Linked DNA regions of Caenorhabditis elegans. The protein of the gene in region 1 interacts with the protein of each later gene in a biochemical or structural test. Each region holds a gene or a part of one and is shown on either strand. Other genes may lie near its edges.

What was found.
Region 2: the proteins of nlp-12 (region 1) and ckr-1 interact in a test that uses a peptide from one of them, tested with the Caenorhabditis elegans proteins (one large-scale study listed by BioGRID).

Annotation. Positions count from the first base shown.
Region 1 is NC_003279.8:1,840,264-1,846,904, forward strand, and holds nlp-12 (Neuropeptide-Like Protein), read left to right. Parts: upstream 1-3,120; 5' UTR 3,121-3,143; coding exon 3,144-3,198; intron 3,199-3,277; coding exon 3,278-3,336; intron 3,337-3,393; coding exon 3,394-3,522; 3' UTR 3,523-3,696; downstream 3,697-6,641. Other genes in the region: egl-30 (Guanine nucleotide-binding protein subunit alpha), read left to right, coding at 56-163, 543-625; emr-1 (Emerin homolog 1), read left to right, coding at 2,197-2,335, 2,410-2,660, 2,713-2,823; tag-96 (Galactokinase), read left to right, coding at 4,958-5,054, 6,080-6,455.
Region 2 is NC_003279.8:6,685,668-6,695,642, reverse strand, and holds ckr-1 (G-protein coupled receptors family 1 profile domain-containing protein), read left to right. Parts: upstream 1-3,971; 5' UTR 3,972-3,980; coding exon 3,981-4,080; intron 4,081-5,386; coding exon 5,387-5,569; intron 5,570-6,172; coding exon 6,173-6,273; intron 6,274-6,323; coding exon 6,324-6,479; intron 6,480-6,723; coding exon 6,724-6,841; intron 6,842-6,885; coding exon 6,886-6,968; intron 6,969-7,017; coding exon 7,018-7,161; intron 7,162-7,504; coding exon 7,505-7,627; intron 7,628-7,843; coding exon 7,844-7,996; intron 7,997-8,042; coding exon 8,043-8,147; 3' UTR 8,148-8,294; downstream 8,295-9,975.

The sequences.
Region 1 (6,641 bases):
TATTGAGAGACTTTATTTGGGCAAATTTCACCCACCTAAATTGTTTTCTTTTCAGGACCCCCACGCGATCCGATCGCCGCCCGCGAGTTTATTCTCAAAATGTTTGTCGACTTGAATCCGGACGCCGACAAGATTATCTACTCTCATTTTACGTGCGCGACTGGTATGTCTTTTCTTTGTTTGCTAGGTGGAAAATATTCGAGCACGGGGTTCTAGCCTTCTTCATTGAATTTTCGCGCTCCATTGACAATCGTGTCTGCCGGATAAAGTCGTGTACTCCACACGGATAAATAAATTCAGTTTTACAACTAGAATTGAGCCGCGACACGCAACGCGCCGTAAATCTACTCCAGATATGGGCGAGCTAAAATGGCCCAAACTCTTCCAGGGAAGCCAGAACTCCGTGTTCGAGAAAAGCACTTATGGTAGCCACGGGTTACCGATTCGGTGTCCCATGGACACTTAGAGTTGCTCATGGCGAATTACTAAAAAATTGTTTAAAAATATCTAAAATTTTCAAATAAAAGGGACCTCTATTTCAGATACGGAAAACATTCGGTTCGTGTTCGCCGCCGTCAAAGACACAATTCTACAGCATAATCTGAAGGAGTACAACTTGGTGTAAGAAGAAAGTCGCATGTCGGATTGGATGATGATGATGATGATCCATCTCTCTCTCTCTCTCTCTCTCACTGGGTCGAGTGAGACACCACCACCTAAACCTAGGAAACATTTTCTTGTACTCCTTCTAATTTTTGTTTTTTTTTTGCAAAAAACTTTCTCTCTCTGTCTGTCTCTCTCTCCATCTCTTCCTTATTTTCTTATTTTCTCATTTTCCTCCCTAAAACAAATGCTCCTCCCGAATATTCTTTCCATATAAGCACTTTTTTCTTCTTTTTTTGGATGTGCTTTCTGATATAGCTAATGCAAAAAGAAACAAAACTTCTCTCTCTCTCTCTCTCTCTCTCTTTCTGTCCTGTCTATACTCATTTATCATCACAAAAAGTCGGTTTTCACATCCTTCCCTACCCATCAACCTAGTTTCCGGCATGCAAAAACACCACCTAGTCTCTCTGTCATTCACAAAAAAAATTTTTTTTTTTGTCTTTTTTTTTCTCACAAAAATCCCCACAACAAACCGCCGCTTCTTTCGTTTTTTTTTGTCTTGATTCAAATTTTTATTTTTTTTACCTTTCTAACAATTCTAACCACAAAAAAAACACATTTTTCGTGTTGGACATAGTTTTTTTTTCCTCCTCAACTTCAATTTCTCCCACCCACATCCACATAATTCAAATATTATAACGTTTTTTTTGAGTTTTCACCATATTTTTTTCGAAAATTATCGAATGCTTTCTCCACTCCCCTCCCCAAACTTCACCCTTACCCTAAAAATCCCGTTTTTCATATTTTTTTCCCATCAAGCTAACCTCGAAATCCTCCCCCCCACCCTATTTTTTTCCATTTTTCATCGATTTTTTTTTGTCATTTTTCCTTCTTCTTCTTCTCAACCGAAAAAAAAACCATCCCCCATCCACACACCATCCCCCCTTCTTCTTCCCCATTATTGTATCGACTTTTTGCGATAGTTTTTAATTTCATATTTATTTCTATTAACATTGATCTAATTTTATGTAAATGTTTTGTGGACAAAAAGAAATGGTTGAAACTTTATTAAAAAAACCTCGTTTTCCGTATTTTATTTATGTATGATTCGAATCATGATTCAGGAAAAAAAGCGCGCGCGAAAATCATTGATTTAAATCTGCGGGCTGGAAATTCCTCCGTAAATCGACACAAAGCGATATCGTGACGAGACCCGTCCACTCTGCGTCTCTCGCCGTCGCGTTGTCTCTCAGCCAATTTGACTTGGGTTTGAAATTATTTTTTCATAATTTTTCATTTTCTCCTGTTTTTAATCAGTTTTTTGTAGAATTTTTCATTTTTTCGGTGAAAAATCAATGAATAAACCATTTTTTAAGTAGAAAATCGCCCTTCCTCAATTTTTGCTCGAAAATTGTCATTTTTTTGCCTTTTCCAGACCATCTCACAAAAAATGGGCATTTTTAATTTTTTTGGTAAAATGTTCAATAAATAAACGATTTTCTCAAGATTTTAGGTAGAAAATCGCTCGTTTTCCTCAATTTTTGCTTGAAAATTGTCATTTTTTGCTTTTTCCAGACCATCTCACAAAAAATGGACGTCTCCCAGCTGACAGATGCCGAACTACGCGATAGCCTTAAAAGCCACGGGGTTTCTGTTGGGCCAATTGTGGCGACGACCCGCAAGCTCTACGAGAAGAAGCTTATCAAGTTATCAGACGGAAGCATTAACAGTGAGGATTTGAATTTAAATTATTTATTAATTTCTAAATAACATTTTTAAAGTTTTCGAACCTCTAATTTCCAGATCAATCAAATCTCAACGACTCTCAATTCAACGAGGATTCATTGATCATCAGCTCGTCACCGAAGAAATCACCGCCACAACGAGTTTTCCAGAACGTGTCAGCTGCAACAGCGGCAGCTACTACCTCTCCCGAATCGGACAGCGACGATTGCGAGGAGTCGATGCGATACTTGACGGAAGAGGAAATGGCCGCCGATCGGGCATCGGCTCGTCAAGCTCAGAGCAACAAAGGAGGATTCTTGGGAAGCACGGTGAGTTTTTCGCCCTTTTTCTGGCAATAAAAACTTATTTTCTATTTTCCAGATCACATTCACAATTCTCTTCGTCTTCATCGCCGTCTTCGCCTACTTCTTGATCGAGAACGCCGAGCAGTTGAAGCTCGTGGCCGAGACGAATCCGGAGGATACTATTTAAATTATTTTTTAAATTTCTATTTTTTTCTTTGACTGTTGAAATCGCTATTTTTACCCCTCTCCCTCCCCCATCACTCTTTTTCTTTAAATCCTTTCACCCCATTTTCATCACTTCATTTGGATAAACGCTATGAATCTCTCTCTCAGTTTTTACGAGCCCATCAACTCCAGAAGCTAACCAAAATGGTAGGGGGGAAAGGCGTGGTCCCCCCGGCTCCGTTGGGAAATATGACGAATCTGTAGTTTACTGATGGGGGGGGGGGTGGTATAAAAGCCCGACACCTCGACTCGGCGAAACTTATTTCAATTGCCTCCGACAAAATGCTCCGCCACCACAGCTGCGCCCTGCTCATGCTCATCCTCGTATTCGTGGAGGGTTCGTCGTTTTAATACTATTTTTAGGCCAATTTTTAGGCCAATTTTTTTTCTAAAAATTACTTCCGTTTTTTTTACAGTTTTTGCAACACAGTCGCCGACGTTTGACCGTCAGGATCGCGATTACCGGCCACTTCAGGTAGGGAACAAGACATTTTAAAAAAAGTTAAAAATATTATACACACATAAATTGCAGTTCGGCAAGCGAGATGGGTACCGTCCATTGCAGTTCGGAAAACGCGACTATCGGCCTCTCCAGTTCGGAAAGCGAAGCAGCGGCAGCTCTGGACCAGTTGTGCTCGAGCCAATCTGGGAATGGCAATAACCGACCCCGTCTAACTATTTTTCCCTGCTCCGCCATCCAAACCACCAATCGAACGATTTATTTTTTTCTAATAACCAACACAGAGACAGTCGCCAATGAATCATTTTATTGTTGAAGAATTTCTTTTCTTTTTTGCAATTAAAATCAAAACAAAAAACTTTGAATAAAGCTTTTTCTCATTTCGGTTTGATCTACGTAGATCTACAAAAATGCGGGAGTTGAGACGCAGAGTTCTTTGCAGAGTGTTTTGGCAAAAAATTCCCGCATTTTTTGTAGATCAAACCGTAATGGGACAGCCTGACAACACGTGTTTCTGTGGGTCTCGCCACGCCGGCAATTAATAACTATTTTGCTTCGTGGTGAGACCTATTGTGGAATATTCTGGGTCTCGTCGCGATGGAAGCTACTAACACAAACTTGTAATTTCGCTTTGAAAATTCTGGAAAAAACTCTGAGCCGTGACGGGACCCAGTCTAGATTATCTTTTTGCAAACCAGTGTGCGCCTTTAAGGAGTACTGTAGTTCAGGGGTGGGCGGTAAACGATTTTTTTCCGGCAAATCGGCAAATTGCCGGAATTTTAAGTTTCCGGCAAACCCGCAAGTAGCCGGAAAAACAACAATTTTCCGAAAATTTTCGGCAAATTGTGATTTTGTTTTTATTATTTTTTGGAAATTTTGGAATTTTAATTTCAAATGGCAAAATTAAACGCATCCTATGAATTTTCCTACATCTATTTTGAAAATTAAGCAAATTTTATGAAAATATCCTTTAAAAAACGGGAAAAAATTCAAAATGACACAGTTTTAAGTGTTTCCGTCTTGTAAAAATTCCTCTAAACATTTCCGGCAAATCTGATATCCGGCAAACGGCAATTTGCCAAAAATGAAAATTTCCGGCAAATCGGCAAATTGCCGATTTGTCGAATTTGTCGACAAAAATTTAGGAAAACGTCAAGAAAGAGGCATATTACCGAGATGAGAAATTCTGCTTCAAAAAATGCTGAAGCCGGTCTCGAAGCGACACATTTTCATTAAATGCGAAAATATATGTGCGCCTTTAAAGATTACTGTAATTCGAAAATTTTCGTTGCTCACTTGTTTAAAAAAAACATGGGTTTTGATATTTTAAATTTGGTTTGTCCAAAAATTTTGGTATTTATTTGAATAGATTTTTCTCGAAAATAAGAAAATGTGTGAACTACAGTAATCCTCAAAGGCGCAGACCGTACTGAACATCATCGAATCCCTTATCTATCAGATTCCCAGTACACCATGCACGCAACACGTGGCGGCGGGCAACACAGAGTATGGTCAACATGTTAGAGACGCAGACAGTCATATAAATATTATTTTGTTTGTTATAGGTGGTGGTGCCCCTATTGTCTTTTCTACAACTTCCAATTTCCTATTATATAGTTTCAGAAATTCGTTAAAAATGGTCTCAAATGAGCAGCTCGCCGAGCAATTCGTCAAATTGTATGGTATTGAGCCAGAAGTTCGTGTCACGTGTCCGGGCCGTGTTAATTTGATTGGTACGTTGTTATTGGTCTTGCCACGATCGAAACTTTCGCAGAAATATATGTTTCTCTGGAAATTTTGCTTTACTGTATAAAAAATGTATTAAAAATAATAAAAAGCATTTCGAAATATTTCCGCGGTTACGGTAGCTCAAAATTTTGAAGTTTCAATCGTGCCAGGACCCAAAAAGTGTTAAAAGTCCCGGGTTTTTTTCCTATCAGGGTTCAGGTATCAGGGACACGTTGAAATTATAGATTTTCTCCTCAAACACCTAAAATTGTATTTTATAAAATAAAAGATAATTTGAAATTTGAAATTTTGACTATTACGGGAACACAAAATTCTGAGAATGCATATTGCACAACATATTTGACGCGCAAAATATCTCGTAGCGAAAACTACAGTAAGTCTTTAAATTACTACTGTAGCGTTTGTGTCGATTTAGCGGCTCATTGGTCATTTTTAACCGATTTTCAGTACTCTATCGATAAATAAATTATTTATATTCACCTGAGCCCGTAAATCGACACAAGAGCGCTACAGTAGTCATTTAAAGAGTAGTTTTCGTTGCGAGATATTTTGCGCGTCAAATATGTTGTGCAATACGCATTCTCAGAATTTTGTGTTCATGTAATACAAAAAATTAAATCTTCTCCTCGGGGAGTACACGAGCCTACATAGATCGTCATGGTTAACTGACCACAGACTTGCAAAAATCATAGGAACTTGAAACAATTGAGAGAAAAATGACACTTTTTTATTTTGAAAAATGAAAGTTTAGTTGCAAAACTGCTGCCTTAGGTCTTGGCACGAATGAAATTTTATCAGCTACACGTGGTGCCAGGCTGTCCCATTACGGTTTGATCTACAAAAAAAAGCGGGAATTTTTTTCCCAAAAACAGGTGACGTCAGCACGTTCTTCACTATGCGAAATCAGTTGAGAACTTTGCTTCTCTTCTCCCGCATTTTTTGTAGATCAACGTAGATCAAGCAGAAATGAGAGTTTTGACACCATGTGCAGCTACCGTAACATTTCCAGGCGAGCATATCGATTACCATGACTATGGTGTCTTCCCAATGGCCATCGACGCGGCGACCACAATTCTGGCCGCAAAAAACGACACGAATTCGATAGTTTTTTCGAATTTCGACTCAAAATACGAATCATGGAGCTCACCAATTCCATGCCCATGGAAAGGATGTACTTCACCAAAATGGTTCGATTATTTGCTGTGTGGATGGAGGGGAATTATGAATAGAGAAGATGGACAAGAACAATTCGGAATGAGCTTCTTATTATACGGAACTATTCCTCCATCTTCTGGTCTTTCGTCCAGTTCTTCGTTGGTTTGTGCGTCGGCGCTGGCCACGTTGTCGTTGATTGTGGATAATGATCCTTTTGAGCATATTTCTAGGTTTGTAGAGTTTTTTTTTTTGAATTTTGACAAAATTTTTCAGAATTTTGGGACCAAAAAAAAACTCACTTTTCGAAATGGCAGAGTTTGCCAAACTAGGCCATTTTGGGTCGGAGAGATTTTGTGTAGATTTAAGGCGCGTTGCGTGTCGCGTCGCGGCACGTTTTTATTTGTAGAACTGATTTA
Region 2 (9,975 bases), 4.8 Mb from region 1:
ATGAATTCCAGAATATTCTGTTTTTTTAACCACTGAAAAAATCACGGGTTGAGTTGAAAAAAAAAAACTCATTTGGACATCCACCCACTTCAAAATTAAACACAATTTAAGTATTCCTCCATATAAATATAAATAAATTATTCTCATTTTCCCGTAATCCCATAACATTTTGAATTCTTATAAATTTTGGTGTTTCTATTTCATGAACGAGTGTAGGGGGTAACTCTATCGTTTTGTTATTTTTTGTGTTTGGCGTTCCAGTCATTTTTCCTTCCATTTTTTCATTTTGCCGTCCAAAAATTTTATTGCTCATCTGTGCCATCGTACATCAATTGTCCATTCATTTTATATCCATTTAGTTTTTGAAATTCAGAATAATAGAATTCAGCGTAAAATTGAGTTATAGCGAAAGCTTGTTTAAAGATGGAGATTCAATCAGCTCATCGCTCCGCTCACTGTTGAAATAATCAGATACACTGCATGAAGTTTGCCGTCGCTGATTGATTCAAAAGTGAGCAAAACGAAGAACTGATTGGTGTTGCAGCTCGAATTTAGGCAGAAATTCAAACTGGAAAATTAGCCAAAATTGAAAATCTCGTTTCTGAAAGTTTCTTTTTGCGTGCTTCTCGATTTTTTTCTTCTAGAAACTGGTGGATACTTAGAAGAATGCTAATCACGCCCCCAGGATGGGGTTAAGAAAAAAAAATTAGTTTTCTGATGTGCGTTTTCTTCTAACAAATTTTACAATTTGCCCTTTTTTAATGTTCTTCTCTGTTCTCTTTGTTCTATGGAAATTCTACTTTGACCCAAAAAAAGGACGTTTTAAAATGAATCTTTAAAAAATAACTATATCCTCCAATAGTAGTGCCCCTCTCATGTCACTTGAACTAAAGTCTCGACTGGAAAAAAATTTATTCTCACTAATTTTTCTGCTTCAGTTTCATGTTATCTGTAAAATCAATCACATCTTGACGCAAATTTTGCGAATCTTGTTTTCAAATGAATTCAACAAAAACATTCAAAAATGTCACGTAAACATTTCGATAGAATCCTTCCAGTTCTTGATCACAAAGTTAAAATGAGTTTGAAATTAAACAACAAACCCCCTCGTGCACCAGCTCGAGTTCACCTTTGATAACGATCAAAACTTGAAAACTTTTATTTATGCAGTGCCAAAACTTGTTTTTTTTCGTTCAAGGGATTGTTCAAGGGAGCTTACACAAAAAACTAATTATAAGAATATCTTTCCTCAAATATTTATTTTTCAAGTTTTTTAAGGTTCTCACGTATGCATTATGGAACGCTTTTTCTTTTCCAGTTTCAATGCATATATTTTTTGAAAGTACCGTAGAATTCTTTTCAAAAAATTCAGGTATGACTAAATCGCAAAAAGGCGTCATCAAAAAACAAACCAATTGAAATAAATCAAGCATTTACGGTCATTGGTCAGAATTTTAGAGCAAATTGATGGGCTTGTTCTCATCTTTTATGGTGTCTTAAAAATATTGAGAATGAGGTCAGAAAGTTTTATTTATGAAAAATTAATAATCATTTTCAGAGAATCTGATGATTTATCTTCAAGTTAATTTTTGATAGAAATTTTTGATATAAATGTTTGATATTTTAATTAGTTAAATAGCGTCGTAGCAAACATGCAAACATTCCAGTCATTAATTTCGAACATGCTCACAAAAATTATCGTTTTAGTGAAGGTAACAAATAAATGTAACCAAACATTTCTTGAAGTGCTCTATCTGAAAATTACTATTCCCATCAATAGTCAATTATAACGGGTTAGTTAAATACCTTGATCTTGCGCAATTTTTTAGTCTCTCATTTTCAATAAGTTTACTTGTAAGTTTACTCAATTTTTCAATAATAATGCTTGAAATCTCATGTTTTTCTTAATTGGCAAATTAATCTTTTGATTCAAAAACAATGTTTCACAAATGTCCACTCAATTTCTAATTAATCTCTAATTTCTTCCGATTGTGCGTCATATTACCCTTGTCTGGTTTTTTTTCGTTTCCGCTGCAATTGTCAGAAAGATTTTTTGAAAATCGTATTGTTTCCTATTCTGTCAATCTCTAATCACAGAGGTCTTGTATTAAATTTCCGAATTTCAATGGCTCTGTGTGAGATTTCATGAAATCATTCGGAGAAAAAAGTTCCTAGTAGAAAAAACAAAAAAAGAAAGACAAAAGCCTGTGAGATAGAGAAAGGGGGCGGTTTGTGTTGTGCTCTTCGTTAAATGGAGCTAAACTTTTCAAGTGGATTCTCCTTTTTCAAAGAGTATGAATAAAGTTTCTTTGTGTTTTGTTTACTTCTATTGTTTTTGGTTTTTCTCAAGTACTTGCAAAAATAGTCCTAGATAGTAGTATTGGTTTTTTGATTGGTCGTTTCCTAATTTAAAGCTGCTCTGAACTTTATAATATGTTTCAAGAAAACGTTTTTGCAAAAAGTACCCGAAAATTTTCTTAAAATCGTACATGTTGGTTGCACCATGTTTACTTTTTTTCAAGTCAAACATGCCCTAAGGGTCTAATTCATTTTTCATCTTTTTTCCCATTTTTTCTCTTATATTCAGAACAGATGGGGTGACTGGAAGGAAAGAGAGCACAGAATTGTAGAGCAAAAGCTCAGACTCCGCCCACCTTCGCAGAGAAGGAAGAAAACGGGGGTCCGGGTGTGAAAGGGGGTTGTGTGATACTTGATCCAATTACATATCACAATTCAAATAAGAAGAACTCAAAGAAAATCGAGAGAAAGACATATTCTAGATTGATCTATTTACTTTTTATTTGCCCCCGCTTCTTCTGTCTCGTGCCACCTTTCATCTATTTCTATATTCCATATATAGTTTCAATAATAATTGTTTCATTTTCTTAGAGAAAACCAAAAATCTATACAAGTTTCTGATAATCTTCCATTTATGAATTTATTTATTATTGGTTTTATGAGATGTTTAATTTTTTCTTCAACATTTTTTCAAAATTCCAATTTCGTTGTTGCAGTTTGCGGTAAACTTTTTCAGATAGCATACCTAATTCCGCATATGCTTAATTTTTTATCACTTCAATTCAACTGTTTGCAAGCACTAGGCAGAAGTATGATCCTTTTAAAATAGGCTCTGCCTACTCGGAGAGCTTATCGTGGTGTAAATTTTTATACAACCAAAACTTTGTTCATTAAAAAAATTTGCTGAAATCGAACAATTTTTGTAAAAAAGTTAGATATCATGGCTACACTGTCCCAAATGAAACTGATTTGAAAATTAAAAAAGGGAAAATTTCGGGTTAGGCACTAAATCATAAAATTCTAAGAAAACTTCTATAAATCAATAAGCATATAAAATATAATACTTATCTGATAATTCTCAGAATTTCAAAAGCAAAGATTATTAATCATAACTCTCAAATATTTTGAAACATTTATTTCCTTTGTCATCCCGTTTCTTTTTTTCGCCCTTTTCTTTTTGACCCAGAACAATTATCCAGCCATCAAATGTCACGTTCCTAAAAAAATAATTCCCTGAAATAACTTTTTCCCGTTCAACTTTACTATTTTTATGAGTTCTTCCAAACTACAAACTTCTGAATCACTTATTTCATTATTTCTTCCCGTGATCACAAGTTTTGATTTATTCGAATTTCCTTTCTGATGTCTTCAAATTTTTGCTTCTTTCCGTTCAGTCCCACCTATTTGGTGATATCAGCTGATTTTTGAGAATATTTTGATTTTCAAACTATTTATTTATTTTTTATTCTTTACTTCGATTTACTTAGATGAGATGCTAGCACCTGAGATCTTTTTGAAATTTTTCTGAAATATCCCAAATTTGTAGTTCAAGGCTGATAAAATAATCGTGAAATCTTGTTTTAAAAAAGGAAAATATTATTTTTATAATTTCCTTTTTCCGCACTTTTCCAAATATTTTTCTAGAAATATCTCATTTAAAATTAAAAATTTTCAGATACACAATGCCAAAAGAATGTTCAGTGATAATCAGTCCTTATACAATTATGATATCGTCAATATTTCTACTATGTCTTATACTTTCACTACTTGGAAATGCAATTGGTAAATTTTTTAAAGCTTAATTTTAAACAAATACAATCTTAAATACAATCTTATAAATTTGAAAGTTTCGAAAAATATTTGTACATTTTTTGATTCATTTTTTATTGAAATAGCCCGTTTTTGAAAAACATAAAAAAAAAACTTCAAAAAATGCATCAAAGCTGTGTCATTATTCAAATATTTCATATTTATTCTAACATTTATGAACATTTTTGGAATATTTTATTCGAATTGACATTATTATTCCCAGTTAGAAATCCGAACCTTTTACGAAAAGAGAAAGAGCAAAGAATTCTATTCTGAAAAAGTGTGTTTTGGACTTGTTATGTCTAAAATAGGACCACCGATATGACACTCCTAAGGGAAATGGAAAGGCGAGACATATTTTAGAGGGAATATGAAATTTGACAAGTTATTTGTCCATTTTTGTTTTCAAGAATTTTAAGACTTTTCGGGAATCCCATCTTTTTGAGGAAATGAATTTTTGAGCAGAAGTGAAAAGAAAAGCTCGCGATATATTTTTATTTTTTACAGGAAGAAGGGTTTGAGAAAATATGAAATGTACAAACGCCAAAAAATTTAAACTAAAAATTATTCAAAATTAAATTTAAAAAAAAAGAAATTAACATCAAAATTTTGAAAAATTGGATTAAAAGTAAGAAATTCAGATTGAAATTAGTTTGGAACTAATATATTTTTATAGCTGATCTATAAATTATTACTTGCCTTTTATAGAAATGTAGAAAAAACAATTGGCGTATTTTCTGGTGTCACTTGATCTTTGAACGCCACCGAGACACCTGTTCCAAAATTTGAGAGATTTTTAAAAGTCAAAAAGGGGTTTTGAATATTCTATTTGTTCTGGAATTCAATTTCAATAAGTGGGCAAAGATCAAGTATAACTCATTGAAAAAAAAGTAAAGTAAATGAGAGTTTTTTTTTGAAAGTGAGAAAACAATAGAGGATCTTGAATTTAAAAAAAATATAAATCGCCATTGAAATACGCAAAAAATTAATTAACAAAATTTTTTTGAAATAGATTTGGTTGAAATTTAAGTTTCCATAAAACTGTTTCAAACTAAATTATTATTTTGTTTTGGTTTTCTGTATAACTTATTTTTATTAAATGTTTAATAATATTTTGAATTGATTGAATTGAAAACATTTTTCATTCTCAAAGTCAGAAGGATCCGATACAAATTTTAAAAAATAAATAAAAGTCCAGAATTTGTCTAGTTTCTTAAAACGAGTTTCGATTTTTCAAAAATTTTATTGCAACATAAAATGCAATTTTTATTATTTTCAGTGATCCTCACAATCCTCGGAAAATCACATCGATCCAGAAGCATCACAAATTTCTATCTTCTCAACTTGGCATTTGCAGATCTTCTTCGTAGTATTATATGTATTCCAAGTACACTTCTTGGTGAATTGACACAATGTTGGCTCCTTGGTGCCGCCATGTGTAAAATTGTCGCATTTCTTCAACGTAAGTGAAAATTCAAAGAGGAAGTGAAAAAAGGATTATGAGAAAAGTAGTACATCAATCAAAAATGACGAGGAGTATCGGAATTAAAAATGAAATGAGAGAAAAATGAGAATTAATTGGGAGGATGAACATTTTTCAGACATACAACTGGTTTTAGTCTTTAGTCTTTGAAATAGATGTGGGTAAGTTGAGAGAGTGTTCTATGGATTATTATTATGATTGTTTACTCAATGAAAAGGAAACACCAAATTTGAATTTTAAATCAAGGGTTTCCTTCTAACGGAATAGTAGCCAAATTACTAACTGGGGAATGTCCAAAAAACCCGGGAGGACATTTGGCTCAAAAAAATCGTCAGCTAAGCGAATCTGAGGCTGGATACGCCTGAAAATTCTGTTTTTATCTCAGCTCCCCACTGATTTTTATTTTGAGTCAAAACACAACATCTTGATCAGATTTTAAGCATTTCAGCAAAGTTCCAAAAACACCAATATAATTGTCCAACAGGATAGGTATCGGGTAGGGCTTGTAGGTGTGTAATATCAGAAACCAAAAATTATTTTATTCAGTTCAAATTTCTTTCGCTATATCTATCAAGTTTTCAGCTGTCGGAGTTTGTGCATCCGCGTACACTCTTGCTGTCATTGCCATTGAACGATACTATGCAATTTGTCGACCATTGGAATCAAGAAAATGGCAGACAAAGGTACATCTCCCACTTATTTGTGGTGTTCATCCAAAGAATTATATTTCCAGAAACGAGCACTGATAACAATTTCATTGGTATGGTGCTTCAGCTTCTCAGCCAATTTAACAAGTCTTTTCCTCTACGACGCTAACCCTGGAAAATTCACGTGTGACTCCACGAAAGGACCACTCGTTGATTTTATCTACCAACTTTATTTAACTTTTGTAGGTTTTTGTTTTCAAAAATTACAGTTAGTATAGAATTTTCATACATTACATAAAATGGAGTCTAGCATCTTTAAGCATTTGATGAGTAAAGTTATCAAAACTATTGGATTAAACATAAAAAATATTACTGATCCAATTTTTTGAAAAATATTTTAATGGAGCGAAATTATTTTGTATCTTCTGTTAAATGTTTCACCATTTGCAACATTTTCATAAACTTTACCGAATTGAAACGTTTCAGACACTATTATTCGTACCTCTTGCCCTGATGGTCGGTCTCTATGGAAATGTGATAATCACTCTGAATACTGCCATTAACAGTGATCATCCCACAGTTGAACAGCAGATGATTGAAAAAAGTAGGTTCCAGCATTTGGTCTCCATACACTGTGCAAGTTTTCAGCTCTCCCGTCTCGTGCTTCATTTTCGGATTGGTTTGTTAGTGCAGTGCAACGAGTTCCAAGTATGAAAGTTGTTTCAAAAACTGTAAGTTTATATAATAGTTGAAAAATAGTGTCGTATTGAATATTTCCAGTTTCAATTCAAAGAGAAAAACTCTCTGTCAATTCCTCAAACAAGCGGATTGTCTGTTCGTCCCAGTAGATCATCGTTTTCATCCTTTTTCTCAACACCACGTGGATCGTTTGATGTTACGATGCTTTTAAGGAGCACAAATCAAGTGAGTTTTCGAGAAATCACAACAATATTTTAAAAAATGGGACAGCTTAACTATTTGTTTAGTTTCAATTATAGTACAGTTTTTGTTGTGCCTTTTCAGAAAACCCAGTCAGCACTAAAAAAACTAGACATCCAATTCCAAAGCAGATTTCCACCGTTCGGCACTGTGTGCTAGGAATCAAAAATTACCGAGAATATTAAAATACGATGCTCTGGAATAAGATACTGTTTTCTATCAAAGTTATTGTAATCTTTACAACTTGGATTTATTATGAGCATTTTTTTAACGAAATGAATAATGGTTGTCAATAAAAAATATTTGTAATAAAGTATATGTTTTCCAGGAAAAGATCCTGATCGCCAAGAAGAAAGTGACCCGAATGTTGATAACACTTGTGATTGTTTTTGCATTTTGTTGGGTGCCATCTTACCTGTATTGGCTACTACTCAGAATGGCTGAACTAGCGGTGAGTTTTTTCGGAAGATTTTCCAAGTTTTTCAATTTCCTTTTCAAACGAAAATCAAACTAATTCTATTTGGAACGGATCTGAGCGGCATATAGTTTTGGAGAATTTACAAATACCAAATATACATTTTAATTTTCCAATTGTATAATATTTTTGCATAACATTTACTGATTTTTTCGGCCAAAACATTCGACCAAACGAATCATATCATTACAGGCGACTGATTTGTGGAATCCTGGACTCAACTCATCATTGACAATCATGACATACATCAGCTCTTTGGCAAATCCAATCACCTACTGTTTCATGAATAAATCATTTCGCTCCTCGGTATTAGCTTACTGTCGTCCAAAACCAAAACGCCCATTGGTAAGAAATCAAACAATTGTTTATTCCAAATATTCCTATTTTTCAGACTCGTTGCTCTGCTCTACCAACTCGTAAGAGCCCTTCATCTCCAACTCATGCTATTCCAATGATTAAAATTGATCTTGTACTTGATAGCAGTGTTCACATTTAATATCATTTTCTTTTTCTTATTTGTTTTACTTTCAATGATCTCTTTGCATTTTTTCTACAAGTAGGTTATGATCTCTTTTACGCGCCAATTCTAGTCGTTTTCGGGTTGTAAAAAATGTCAAATGCCAAATAAATATAGAAATTGAATAGAAACGTTGTTAAAAATCGAAAGTGTTTGAATGTAATCAGAAAAAAAATTGGACAGGAGATACCAACGAAGTATTAATGTATGTTAGCTACATCAGAACCATGAAACCATGAAAACAAGAAGCACCGCGCAAAATGTGCAAAAGCAGAAATAAAATCTAGGATATCTGTAATAGAAACATATATACTAATTGGCTGTCTGTAAATTCTTCCCGTACCAGGGTTTTTGAAAATTATTTGCCAAACAAGTTTTCAAAGTTATAAAATCGTTTTCAAATTTTCTAAAAAATAACCTTTATTGTTCTTCACCTCCGAATGAAATTAAATCTTCTCAAACATACATAGGCATCAAAAGTCACACAATAAAAATAAATAGATTTTTGAACTTAAACTCATCAATTAAACACATCCTTTTTTGCAGAAACAAAAGTTCAGTGAACCGTATCAAATTGGATTTTCAATTTTTTAAACGAAAACACACTTTCATTGGATACAACAATGAAGAACAAGCAATTTTTGTTTCAAAACACAAAAATTTTCATTTGTTCCGAACCGGCGCCTCACATTCTATTTCATTTTGTTTAGCTGCTCATCGTTTGTGGGCTTTAATTTAATTTTGAAGATCCTCTTTAGTAGTAGTCTATGGTTTTAGAATAAACGAGATGGGAATGAATGCACTATTTTACTAAGGCATTGACTATACAAATAAACAAACTGCTCGGATTGCCACAATATTTTTTTCCATTTTTTTCCACTTAACAATTTTTATTTTCATTAATACAACTAGGTTCATGTCAATCTCAAATGGTTTTTCTGCGATTTAACGTACTTCCACTAGTTTAAATATTTTTCAACATGATTCACAGAAAATGATTAATTTTTAAGAAAAAATCCGATTTTTTATGTTTTGTGTAGGTGGCAACAGTTGATGTTTGCCCAAAAAATTTTAAAATGGGAAGGAAATTGGGAAGAGTTGAGCATAACTTGGACAACACTTCTTTTGTGGTTGCACCCAATTTTAACAAAATTTTGATTACCCTTTCCGTGAATATTGGCAAAAGTAGGATCAAATTTTGTTCATTGCCTGAACTAAGTCTTGCACTATTAGAGTTACAGTAGATTCAGGAATCAACACCAGAAACAGACTTGTGAGATGTGGAATGTAGAAGTGAAATTTTTTTTTTTAGTTTTTGGATTTAATTTTTTAAAATTTTTAAAAATATCTCCCTATTTTTCTACTCCACTCCAGAGCTTATCTGCGCATTTCACACATTTCACACAAATTTTTTTAGAACTTTTAAAAACGTATCAGTCATTTTCTGTACATCGTCTCAATCTTCAACTAGAATCCGTTTCGTTTTTTCTTATTTTCTATTCATTTTCAGTCATCTGATCCTTTATTTCTTCATCCAAGTTTACTTTTCTCTCCTTTCCATTTATTTATTTTTATTTATTTTCTTACTCCTTCTTATTCCTTCCTTCAACATTTATTTCTATTTTAATTCGTATTTTTTTCCTTAAGCCTTGAGCCGCAAGGCACGGGGCAAAGAGGCCGGAAATGTATGTATATTCTGAATTTTAATGTGTATCAAGATCATTCTAAGCAAGAGTCAAAAGAGATCCGGAGGTGGAGGAGGAATTCTCGATTTCTCGCTTCAGTACACTTTCACGTTTTTTCTTAT